3 linked regions of the Macaca fascicularis genome follow. The protein of the gene in region 2 interacts with the protein of the main gene of each other region in a pairwise test. Links are inferred from orthologs where the notes say so. Each region holds a gene or a part of one and is shown on either strand. Other genes may lie near its edges.

Region 1 (3,749 bases), on a different chromosome or scaffold from region 2:
AACCCATCTCTATTTAAAAAAGAATTTTTAACTCCCTAACTGAATCTTGATAAAGAATAAATTTGGAGTTTTGTCAGTTTTTAGATGGCACCATTTCAGCCACCTCAATTCTTGCCACCTCCAAGTTCCACCCTAATTCTCAGGATTGGTGGTTTTCCACTAAGTACCCATAGCTTTGTTGCAATTAGAAATGTAAAATCAGTATTACTCTGCACTTTACTGCCAATGGCAAATGAGAAACTGGAACCTCACAAAGATAATCTAGCAAACTGCAAAACAAAGTCCATTCAAGATCTGGTACAATCAACTCTTGATCATTTGGAATTCTGTTTTGATTTGCTTGCTGAACAATGCAATCCCTGATTCTCTCCCTGGCTGCTGGGGACATGCCTTTATAGGCTCGGTGGAAAAAAGCAGTGGTTCAATACTGTTTCCTGACAACTGCACTGGTTATTAAACACAACTACAAAATAAACTCACAAGGATGTATAATTACCAAACTATGTTTTAAGATTGTAACTGTTTTTAGATTTCAGGCCTACCATTTCTTTCACCTGTGACCCAAGTGATTTAGGGGTGAGATATATTAGCCTGTCTGAGGCATTTTAGACAAGGGAGAAGGTGCCTACACAAGTACCAAACAAAGCAGTATTAAAATTGCTTTCCATAGGTGGCAATCTTCTATGATGCTTAAGCACTGTAAAGCAGTGACATCTGTTCATGTGGACAAAATTATAATAGCTGAGGCCGGGCGAGGTGGCTCACGCCGGTAATCCCAGCACTTTGGGAGGCTGAGGCAGGAGAATCGCTTGAACTCAGGAGGCAGAGGTTGCAGTGATCCAAGATCGCACCATTGCACTCCAGTTTGGGCAACAAGAGCGAAACTCCATCTTCAAAAAGAAAACAACAACAACAACAAAAAACCACAAAAAACATATGTATAAATGAATACATAAATTCACCAACAGGTTTTTAAAACTACTTTTAAAAGTAGCAATATTTTACGTACTTTTACATGAATATGAAGCCAAATAGAAAATTCCAAGTAGTCAGACATAGAAGATGCTTAACAGTAAAGAGACTTTCTATTAGGAAGTTTAAATGATGCTACCTAGAAGACTCTCCTATCAGTTTTTGGAGTATACCTGGGACAAATGACTAATATTTTCATTTGCCTGTGGATATTTGAAATTAATAGCATCTTAACAGAAATTTACTTTTGATTGTTCCAGGTACTCCCCAAATGTTAAAATTTGACACCAGAAGAGCTGGCAAATGTGTCTGAAGGAATAATTTTTTTTAAAATCCCCACACTCAGTTTAACAAGGCCACCTTATTGTAGTTCCAATGCAACTAAAATTTAAATTGATCGCACTGTTTAAGAATGTTTCTGGGTACTGTTGTGAACGTTTTTTGGAACTAGAAAAAAAAAAAAAACCCTAGTTATTAAATTTCGAAGTGACTTGAGAACAAATTTGATGTCTAGAAACCTACCCCAAAGGCGATAATTTCATGTCATCCAACATTTATTTCTTTTTTTATTAGCAAATAAAATGTTCTTTGGAATGACAATAGCTCCACCTACCCCAACACACTTCCACATTACAGTATCATGAATATTAGCTACACTCCTGCACTGAAACAAGCTTTTGTTTGAGCCGTTCCCAAACCAAGGTATTAAAAGCGACCATTCTTCAACAAACAAAGATACTTCTGGACTGCACCCCAAGAGACCGAACACCTCAGTGTGTACTATTGTGGTGTTATCCTGGGAAAGTAATCCTTTCTGCAAGAAAACACAAAGCCCAAGTGTGTCCTTGACAAATAGCAAGATGTTCATAGCCTATATTCTAACGAGGCAACTTGTATTTTTTTCTTGAAGTGCAGATTCCTGGAATTAAACACCAAGAGCTGTCTATTCAAAGATGTTTCTTTTAAGCAAGGTGTTTCAAATATACATAGTTGTCCGCATTTGACAACGATCAGGACGAGACTAAATGCGGTTTCTTCTCCAGGTCAGAGCGAGAAACCAGGGAGAAATAAAATTGTGCCAAAGAGCACGTAGCACCTGTCAAGGCACTGTGACCCAAGACAGATTAACACAAAGAAGCTACGATGGATTTGTTTCCATGGTCTCCCCCCGCCCGCAGGGAGTCGTACCATCCACGGGCCAGAGCCGCCAAATCCCTGCCTCACACGTAAGGGGAAGGGAATTGCTCCTCTTGGCTTCCGACCTTCCCCAGTCGGCGGGCCTCATGGCGAAGGGGCCAGGGGCCTGCAGAGCGGGCAGACAACGGAGGGCCGCGAAAGGGGCCAGGACCGGAGCGGGACAGGCCGTGTGGCCCGCACCCCGGCGCCGCAGCTCAGCCCCGCGCCGGTCCTGCCGTAGGGGGGATGGGGCTTGAAGCGGCGCTAGTCTCCGGGCACTGGGAGCCGCCGCGGCCGAGGCAGGGCAAAAACCGACACGTTGTCGTTGGCGGGAAGCAGTGGAAGGGATCCGCCCCGCGCGCAAGACCCCGAGCACCCAGCCGCCGCCGCCCCGTCTCCGAGCGCGCCATTTCCAGGCCCCGGCCCTCCAGGCACCGCTCCTAGGCCTCCGCGGGCCCCCGGGCAGGCCCCCGCCTCCCGCCGCCCCGGCTGAGCGCAGGACTACCGCCACCTTGACGGCCCCGACTCCGCCGGTCCCGCAGCCCCCGCCGGGGCCCGCGCACGTTCGCCTCACCCTCTGCCGCCGCCGAAGCTGCTGTAGGCCCGATCGTCGTAGGTATCGAAGTCCGCCATTTGCCGTCTCCGCTCCGAGAGGAACCAGGGTGAGCGAGGAAGGACCCCGCAATATAACTCCCCCCGCCCCGCCGCCGGGGCTGTCCGCCGCGCCGCCTGATCGCAAATCCCTAGGACGCATGCACGCGCGCGCGCGCGCGCACGCACGGACGCTTGCCGCGCCGCGCCAGGCCCTGGGCCCACGGGCAGCTGCTTGCGCCGTGCGCTCTGCGGCCCACGTGGTGCGGCGGCGCCCCAGCTGGACGCCTGCCCCGCCGCCGCTGCCCATTATGTGCTGGCCCTGAGGCTGCACCCGCGGCTGCCTCCTATCCCCGCCGCGCCCCGCCCGTGCGCGCTGGCCTTCCGGGAGAGCCGGCGGGGAACTCCCTCTCCCGTTCGCCTGGAACCCTGCCTCTCGGCCTCCAGACCTGGCAGGGACCGCGGAGGCCTGTCACGCTTGGACCCGCAAGTGGTCCCCGGATGACACCCAAGTAAAGGCCGCCTCCTTCTCCAGGCAGGAGCTGGCCACACGATGAGGATGCCTCGGAAGGGGGTGCGAGGCGGTGGGATGCAGACTCGAATCCTGCCTTTCAGGGCTTACTAGCTGACTGGGTATTAGGGGGTTTTGAGAGGAGAGAGTATAGGTGGTCGATGGCTTAGCAAGAGAGACTGCACATCTCGGTTTTTTGCCTTGGAAAGTCGTTGCCTTGGAAAAAGAATCGGATACTGATGTGGATTCCATCATCTGGCAATAACAAAACATGGTTGTGCAGTGGGAATTAATTACACGGGTAAATTTCCAGGTTTGTGAGTGAGATGGTGGTAATTGTGGGTGCCACAATGTTGACAAACCTTAATTATCTAGGCACACTTTAAAAGAACCTCATAGAATTGTCTTGTAATGTGTACCTAGGTATCTTACGCTTAACCATTACTTTTTATTATTTATTTATTTGTTCGTTGTTGAGACAGGGTCTAGCTCTGTCGCC
Region 2 (3,602 bases):
GGGACTGGGATGCAAGTCCTAGCTCTGCCCACCTCATCGCATGACACTGAGAAAACTCCTTTCCCTTCTTGGCTTCAATTACCTTGACCGCAGAATGGGGCCAACATCTCCTAAAGAGGTTGTGAGATTTAAATTTAATACATATGAAAGCGCTTTGCAAACTGTCCAGTGGGCCCTATGAAGGTCAGGATGGTAGAAGAGGACAGTATGAATGGCGGGGCTTCCAGAGAGACTACCTAGGGTTGCGCAGGTTGTTCACTGCACAAGGATGTCCAGCCTAGGGTGCCGAAATCCAGCCCATCCCATCCTCTGCTCCCCAAACCACGTACCCTGGCCTAGGACTGCCTGGGCTTGGTACCTTCCTCTAATATGCACAAATGTACCTTGAGGGCTAGCAGTGGCCCCTTAGACGTTCCTGGAGGGATCAACCCCTGGAATTATGGGAAATCTCTGAGAAACTGATTTGGGATGGAGGGGAAGTGGGGCTGGTTTTGCAGAGGTTCTTAGAGACAGGGCCTAGCCTCAGCAGTGAGGCACAACTTATTGCTAGGGGCAGCTACGGGGGCCTGGCCGGGTCAACGGGGTAGTCTCTCCTGGCCCTGCCTCTCCCTAGCAACCAAAGCAGGTAACCACCAAGACAGTATTTAAACCACTCAAGACACAGACCCAAGCCGGGTTTTATTGAAATGCCAGGAGCAGGCACATGTCAAAGTAGCCAAGGAAGGGGGGATGGTGGGACAGGCTGTGTGAGCTGGCAGGGATGCGCAGGCCTCATGTCCATGGTCCTGGCATCCCCTCTGCCAAAGGACAAGTAGGCACAACCACCCTCCCCCCAAAATGGCATGCTCAGGCCAGTGGGGCCCCTACCCCTAGACCATGAAGACTCCAAGGAGAGGGGCTGGAAGTACTAAGTTTTCTCCCTTGTGAGGGGGAAGGAAAGAAGGGGAGATGCAGGAGGAAGGGGAGGTATAGCAGGGGATGAGCGTCCCAAGGAAGTCTCTCCTCTTAGGTGTCTGCACCCAACCCACGGTCCTGGGCAGTGGAGAGGAGCAGCATTACAAAGGGAGGCTGAAGGCTCATCCCTCAGACAACCGGATTCCCCCAGCCTGTGGGGCTTGCATCAGCCCTGAACAGAGGGCAGAAGTTCAAGGGGACTGAAGATGCAGGTAGTTCCCAAGTGACCTAGTAGTCCCCAGAGTTGGGGGGCTTGTCCTTCATGGGACAAGGAGGAAGACAGAAAATCCATCCCCAGCATGGAGTGGGGAGAGGGCAGTCTCCCCAGTTTGGCCCCTCTAGGTCAGTTCCACGTTGTTGGCACGGTCAAGCACTCGGGAGCCACGGGCACTGCCCCCAAGCTGGAAACGACTCTCATAGAGAGTGGGGCAGAGGTGCCAGCGGTTGGCCCGGTAGATGCCCAGGTAGGTGTAGACATCAGGCTTGTAGGTGAGCAGGCACTTAATACCTGCTGCACGGATGGCTGAATCCGCCTCCAGTACACCCAAGCGGTCCGTGAAGTCGTCCGTGTAAACACAGATGACCTGGCGCCCACCCTCCTTGGCCCGTGGGCTCACCTTGGCCACCTGAAGCCGGCCTTCAACCACGGCCCGGGCAATGCCAGCCCAGGCATGGTCCAGCTTAAAGCCTGGTGCCAGATGCATAAGCCACTTGCCTGAGAGCACGTGGTGGGTGATGGCGAGCTGGCGCAGGGTGCCCGGTGTGATGGGCCGCCCACTGGTCTGCAGAGCTTCCCAGGCTGCCTGCAGGCCCTGCACATCCCCGGAGTTGGGGCTGTAGCCCTGCCCATACACTGCAATCCAGCCCACAGGCTCTGAGTTGGGTGAACCGGGGTCCCCATAGCGGGTAACTTGGGATGGTGGGTACTTGGCCAGCCAGGCATCCAGCTCAGTGGCAGGTGTCGTGTGGGCATCAAACACTAGCCAGGGGTCCATGTCAGCTGCCATAGCCTCTGCAGCCAGGTGCTCAGCAGTGAAGCCATCCTCACGGCCACCTGGAGAGTCCTCCTCTTCCAGCTCCTCACCTGGTTCCATCCTGCTGTGAGGGAACCGAGTCAGGGCAGGGTCTGAGACAATAACTACAGGTGCCAGGCACTGGATTAAACTGTGGCCTTGGGTAAGAGTTATTGTCGATGCGCCTCAGTTGCCTCATCTTTACAATGGGATAACAACTGTTCCTGTCCTGTAGATCCGCTGTGAAAATTAGATGCCTGAGGAGTGAGCGCTCCAGAAGGGTTGCTGCAGTTATTACTATTCTCCTTGACTTACAGACAAGGAAACTGAGGCTGAGAGAGAAAGGACTTGCCCAAGGTCACCTGTAGTGCGTGGCAGGGCCAAAGGGTGAATCCAGGCGTGGGAGCAACCGGCCCCAGCTACACCTCCCGGCCCCGACAAGGCCCCCTTTTCCTGGCAGGTATCCGGAGCGCTGGCATTTAATAGAGGAAGGCAAAGAAGCGCACGTTCGCGCAGCTCCCAAGGCCGGCTCTGTAGGGCCAGGCCTCCCGAGAAGGCGTTAACGGGCCCACTTAAAGACGAGGACACTGAGGTCCAGAGAGGGCACAGGCCTTTCCGAAGCCAATGGGGCGGTGCCCGGAGTCGAACCTGGGCTTGCTAGAGCCTGCAGGAGCGCCAGGCTCCGGCCGTGCCGCGCCCGCCGCCATTAACGCCCACGGCCCGAGCGGTGCTCCCGCCCCGGCCCTGCCCTGCCCCTCCCGCCGCCCGCAGTCACCTCCGGCCTTCGCTGCGTTCGACGCCGGCCCAGCCCCGGGCCCGGTTCCGCTCCTGCCGGGGCTCCGTGCCACCGCCGCCGCGCCCCACCCCCGCCACGGCCGCCGCCGCCGCCGCCATCTTAGCGCCGTGCCACCTCAACAACAACTTTATAGACAAGCGCAGCCACGGGGCGGAGCCGCCAGCCTCAGCGGCCGCAGCGGCCGCGCTGTGGGGCGGGGCCGGCAGGGGAAGGGGCGGGGCCGACGGGGAGGTGCTGACTCGGGGGGCGGGGCCATCGCGGGAACCCCGGGAGGGGCGGGCCGTGGGGGGCGGGGCCAACGTTCGCTCTTCTGGTCTTGGGGGCGGGCGGGAGCAGCGGTACAGACCGGGGAGGGATGCGCACGGCCCGGGAGGCTCCAAGTGGAGGGCACTAGGGCCCCGTGAGTGGCGTCTTAACCGGCGGCGCTAGGACTCCACGGGAAGCGGCGGGGGCGGAGCGGGCGGCACCAGGACCCGGGGGAACCGAGGCGGGCGGGCAGCGAGCAGGCCCGGGAGCCGGGAGGCTGCGGGCGGCGGTGCTGGACCCGACGCGGCGAGCGAGGCCCCGAGATGCCGAGCAAGAAGAAGAAGTACAACGCGCGGTTCCCGCCGGTGAGCACATGGCAGAGCCCGGCAGGGAGTGGGCCCGGCTCCCGGGAGGCTTGGGCCCAGTTCCCTCTGGAAAGGCAGGCGCGCCGCGGTGTTCGGGGGCCTGGACGCCCCGCCTCCTCCGTGCCCTCCCCGCGTCCGCGTCCTCCGCCCCCTTTCTCCGGGGATGCCCCTTCCTCCCCCGGCACCCCTTTAGGGGACGGAGGCGACGGGGTCTGAACTCTGCTCCCC
Region 3 (3,749 bases), on a different chromosome or scaffold from region 2:
GAAGAGTCAGGAACGCCCAACTGTGTCAGTGGAAAAAGAGCGGTTAATGAAGCAAAAGAGTGGGGGAAATAAAGAGGAAAAAGTTAGGTATTCTAGGGAAAGGGGAACAATGTGTCCACAGAGGAGGGTTTATTTAAGAATCACCAATGTTTGTAAGTGGAATACACTTCCTCTCTTAGAAAGAGAACTAAAAGTCAGAGCACACTTGGCAATGTGGATTTCATTTTATGTGTGATGAAATCAATGAATAATTTGATGCAGGCAAATCACATGATCATATTTACGTTTTAGAGTAAAAATTTTAAGCGGGGCACAGTGGCTCACGCCTGTAATCCCAGCACTTTGGGAGGCCGAGGCGGGTAGATCACGAGGTCAGGAGATCGAGACCATCCTGGCTAACACGGTGAAACCCCGTCTCTACTAAACATATAAAAAAAATTAGCCGGGCGTGGTGGTGGACGCCTGTAGTCCCAGCTACTCAGGAGGCTGAGGCAGGAGAATGGCGTGAACCCGGGAGGCAGAGGTTGCAGTCAGCCGAGATCGGCCACTGCACTCCAGCCTGGGCAACAGAGCGAGACTCTGTCTCAAAAAAAAAAAAAAATTTTTGGTCACAGCAGACAGAAAAAAGAAAGCAACGTGATCAGTTTAGAGACCACTATAATAATGTGGGCAATGATGACAGTATGTCTGATATATGGCAGTGATAAAAGGAATGAAAGATTATTTAAAAGATAAAATTGACAGCACCTGGTGCCTGAACATTAGGGTTAAGAGAAATTAAAAAATCACTGATGGCTCAGAAATTAAAGAATCATTGATGGTTCCATGGCTTCTACTTTGGGTTACTGAATAAAGTATTACCATTACTTTCAATTTTATTCTGTATGGTGCAAACTCTCTGTGCTTGAATCTACTACCTATTTGTTTATTCAAAAGATGAAGAGTCAGAGAAAACTGACTTTAACCCATACATAATCCTTATTTCAGTTTTACTCAAAAACATAAGATATGCAGATGAGTATTTCACAATTTTATCCTTGCATATTTCAAATATTTCAAATTCATACTGCAATTTCAAATTTTTTTTTTTTTTTTTTTTTGAGACTTAGTCTCGCTCTGTCATCCAGGCTGGAGTGCAGTGGCGTGATATCGCCTCACTGCAAGCTCCACCTCCCATGTTCACGCCATTCTCCTGCCTCAGCCTCCCGAGTAGCTGGGACTACAGGCGCCCGCCACCACGCCAGCTATACCTGGCTAGTTTTTTGTATTTTTAGTAGAGACAGGGTTTCACCGTGGTCTCGATCTCCTGACCTCGTAATCCGCCCACTTCGGCCTCCCAAAGTGCTGGGATTACAGATGTGAGCCACTGCGCCTGGCCGCAATTTCAAATATTTCATACCCTTATATATCCTTGTAGGAGTATTTAAGAAAGAGTATATTTTCCTCTTAAAAACTGTTAAAATCAACATTATTTTTTAAGTGACATTTTAAATAATTTATGTGGCTGAAGTAAAAGCCAAATAAATCCCCGCCCACTACTTATTTAAAGGTGTCTTGGTGGGAAACTGATATAAAATGACATCGTTGGCCGGCACGGTGGCTCAAGCCTGTAATCCCAGCACTTTGGGAGGCCGAGACAGGCGGATCACGAGGTCAGGAGATCGAGACCATCCTGGCTAACACAGTGAAACCCCGTCTCTACTAAAAAAAATACAAAAAACTAGCCGGGCGAGGTGGTGGGCGCCTGTAGTCCCAGCTACTTGGGAGGCTGAGGCAGGAGAATGGCGTAAACCCGGGAGGCGGAGCTTGCAGTGACCTGAGATCCGGCCACTGCACTCCAGCCTGGGCAACAGAGCGAGACTCCATCTCAACAACAAAAAATAATAATAATAAAATAAAATAAAATGACATCGTTAATAAGTGTTTAACTTTGGGAGGGGAAGAGTATGAATTAAAATTCTAGGTTCATAGTGAGCATTCAAGTATTTAACTGAGGCTGGGCATGGTGGCTCATACCTGTAAACCCAGCACTTTGGGAGGCCAAGGTGGGTGGATCACTTGAGGTCGGGAGTTCCAGACCAGCCTGGTCAACGTGGTGAAACACCATCTCTACTAAAAATACAAAAAATTAGCTGGATGTGGTGGCAGGCACATGTAATCCCAGCTACTTAGGAGACTGAGGCAGTAGAATTGCTTGAATCCAAGAGGCAGAGGCTGCAGTGAGCCAAGATTGCACGATTGTACTCTAGCCTGGGTGACAGAGCGAGACTCCATCTCAAAAAAACCAAAACCAAAACCAAAAACAAAACAAAACTTCATTGGTTACAAGACACTTCTTTAGATTGTTTATTAAAATGTCTATTAAAAGAACAGAAAAGTAGTTGTTGAAAAGATTAAATAAAATATTTTTAAATAGTAAAAATTATATAAATATTGGTTATCATATAATATTGAGTATTTAAAATCCTTGGAATTTATTTTTCTTATTGCAGAAGCTCTTAATTGGTAAAAATTAACAAGCTGGGGGAATGTAGAGTATTACAACCAAGTAACAGAGTATATTGTAATGCTCTACATTCCCCCAGCTGGAAATAATCTCCCCTCCTTTAAACTACCATAGTATTCTGTTTATAGTAATTATTCCAAATAACTGTAATTTAGGGAAAATTACATCTTACCATCTTATTAAACTTACCATCTTATTTAATTAAAATTAAACTTACCATCTTATTTCTTCTTGAGATAAAGCTACTTGTTTTATTTCTTCAAGCTACTTGAAGGCAGAAATTGTGTTTTACTCATCAGTGCCTTGTATACAGATATTCATTAAACACCTATTGAATGAATGACTAAAATATCTTAAGGTATTTTGTTTATACAAGTTACTCAAACGTTAAATAATCATGTATGTGATTAGTCAGATTTTTTAATTAGATTCCACTACCAAGGGAAAAAAAAAAATAGTGCTTTGTAGGTACCAGGATTGCTACACCTCAGCATTTCCTCATACTCATTCATATTTCGATTTATCTGTGTTTATGATTTTTAAAAAACTTCCCAGCTATAAATCATTTATATAATGCATCAGTACAATGCACCAGTTATTTCCTTCCTCAGTACTGTGCTTTGCGCAGTGCCATTCTTCCTGAATATAAAATGTGCTGAAAAGTAGTCATCTATGGAGTGGAAGAGGGTAAAATATAAATCAGGAAATTGTAGGGAAAATAAGTACTCTTAATTAAGATAACCTCAAATCGCCACAGTTTTGAAAAGCACAAAAACGTCTCCAAAGTTGGCTCTAAACAAGTTGATTACTGTATTTTTCTTTAAGCAATACTATGCAAAGTTGGGACTGACCCCTATATTCTGAAGAGTATTTTAAAAGGCTAATATACATCAGAATAATATCTGAAATACAGTCAAAATGTTTGTAAGATATATTTATGTTTTTATTTGCACTTAGGCAAGAAAGAGTGCTATTTTAAAACATAGTGCCTATTTAATAAAGTATGAGTTTTTAAGATAAAAAATTACATTGCAATAAATGTTTAAATGGATCATAAATTATCAGAAATAGACACATTAACTAACATCTTATTGCTAGAATGAGCAACCAGCATCAAGTATATAGAACAAAAAGTTAATTATTGTAATTACAACACTTTTGAAAGACCCTTTTATATACATTTCTCATTTGATCCTCTTAACTTTAATCTCCATTTGAAAAACAATAGAAATTATTATCCCAA

What was found.
Region 1: the proteins of C14H11orf68 (region 2) and EIF4H interact in binary tests that used the Homo sapiens proteins (3 or more experiments, as listed by UniProt). The two-hybrid records come from large-scale screens. The link is inferred for Macaca fascicularis from reciprocal best matches to the Homo sapiens genes C11orf68 and EIF4H.
Region 3: the proteins of C14H11orf68 (region 2) and REL interact in binary tests that used the Homo sapiens proteins (3 or more experiments, as listed by UniProt). The two-hybrid records come from large-scale screens. The link is inferred for Macaca fascicularis from reciprocal best matches to the Homo sapiens genes C11orf68 and REL.

Annotation. Positions count from the first base shown.
Region 1 is NC_088377.1:53,056,359-53,060,107, reverse strand, and holds the start of EIF4H (eukaryotic translation initiation factor 4H), read right to left. Parts: upstream 2,808-3,749; 5' UTR 2,782-2,807; coding exon 2,723-2,781; intron 1-2,722. UniProt on the Homo sapiens protein: Stimulates the RNA helicase activity of EIF4A in the translation initiation complex. Binds weakly mRNA.
Region 2 is NC_088388.1:8,480,489-8,484,090, reverse strand, and holds C14H11orf68 (UPF0696 protein C11orf68 homolog), read right to left. Parts: upstream 2,887-3,602; 5' UTR 2,862-2,886; coding exon 2,743-2,861; intron 2,053-2,742; coding exon 1,293-2,052; 3' UTR 644-1,292; downstream 1-643. Other genes in the region: DRAP1 (dr1-associated corepressor), read left to right, coding at 3,333-3,374.
Region 3 is NC_088387.1:61,083,298-61,087,046, forward strand, and holds the start of REL (proto-oncogene c-Rel), read right to left. Parts: upstream 2,202-3,749; 5' UTR 2,108-2,201; coding exon 2,017-2,107; intron 1-2,016. UniProt on the Homo sapiens protein: Proto-oncogene that may play a role in differentiation and lymphopoiesis.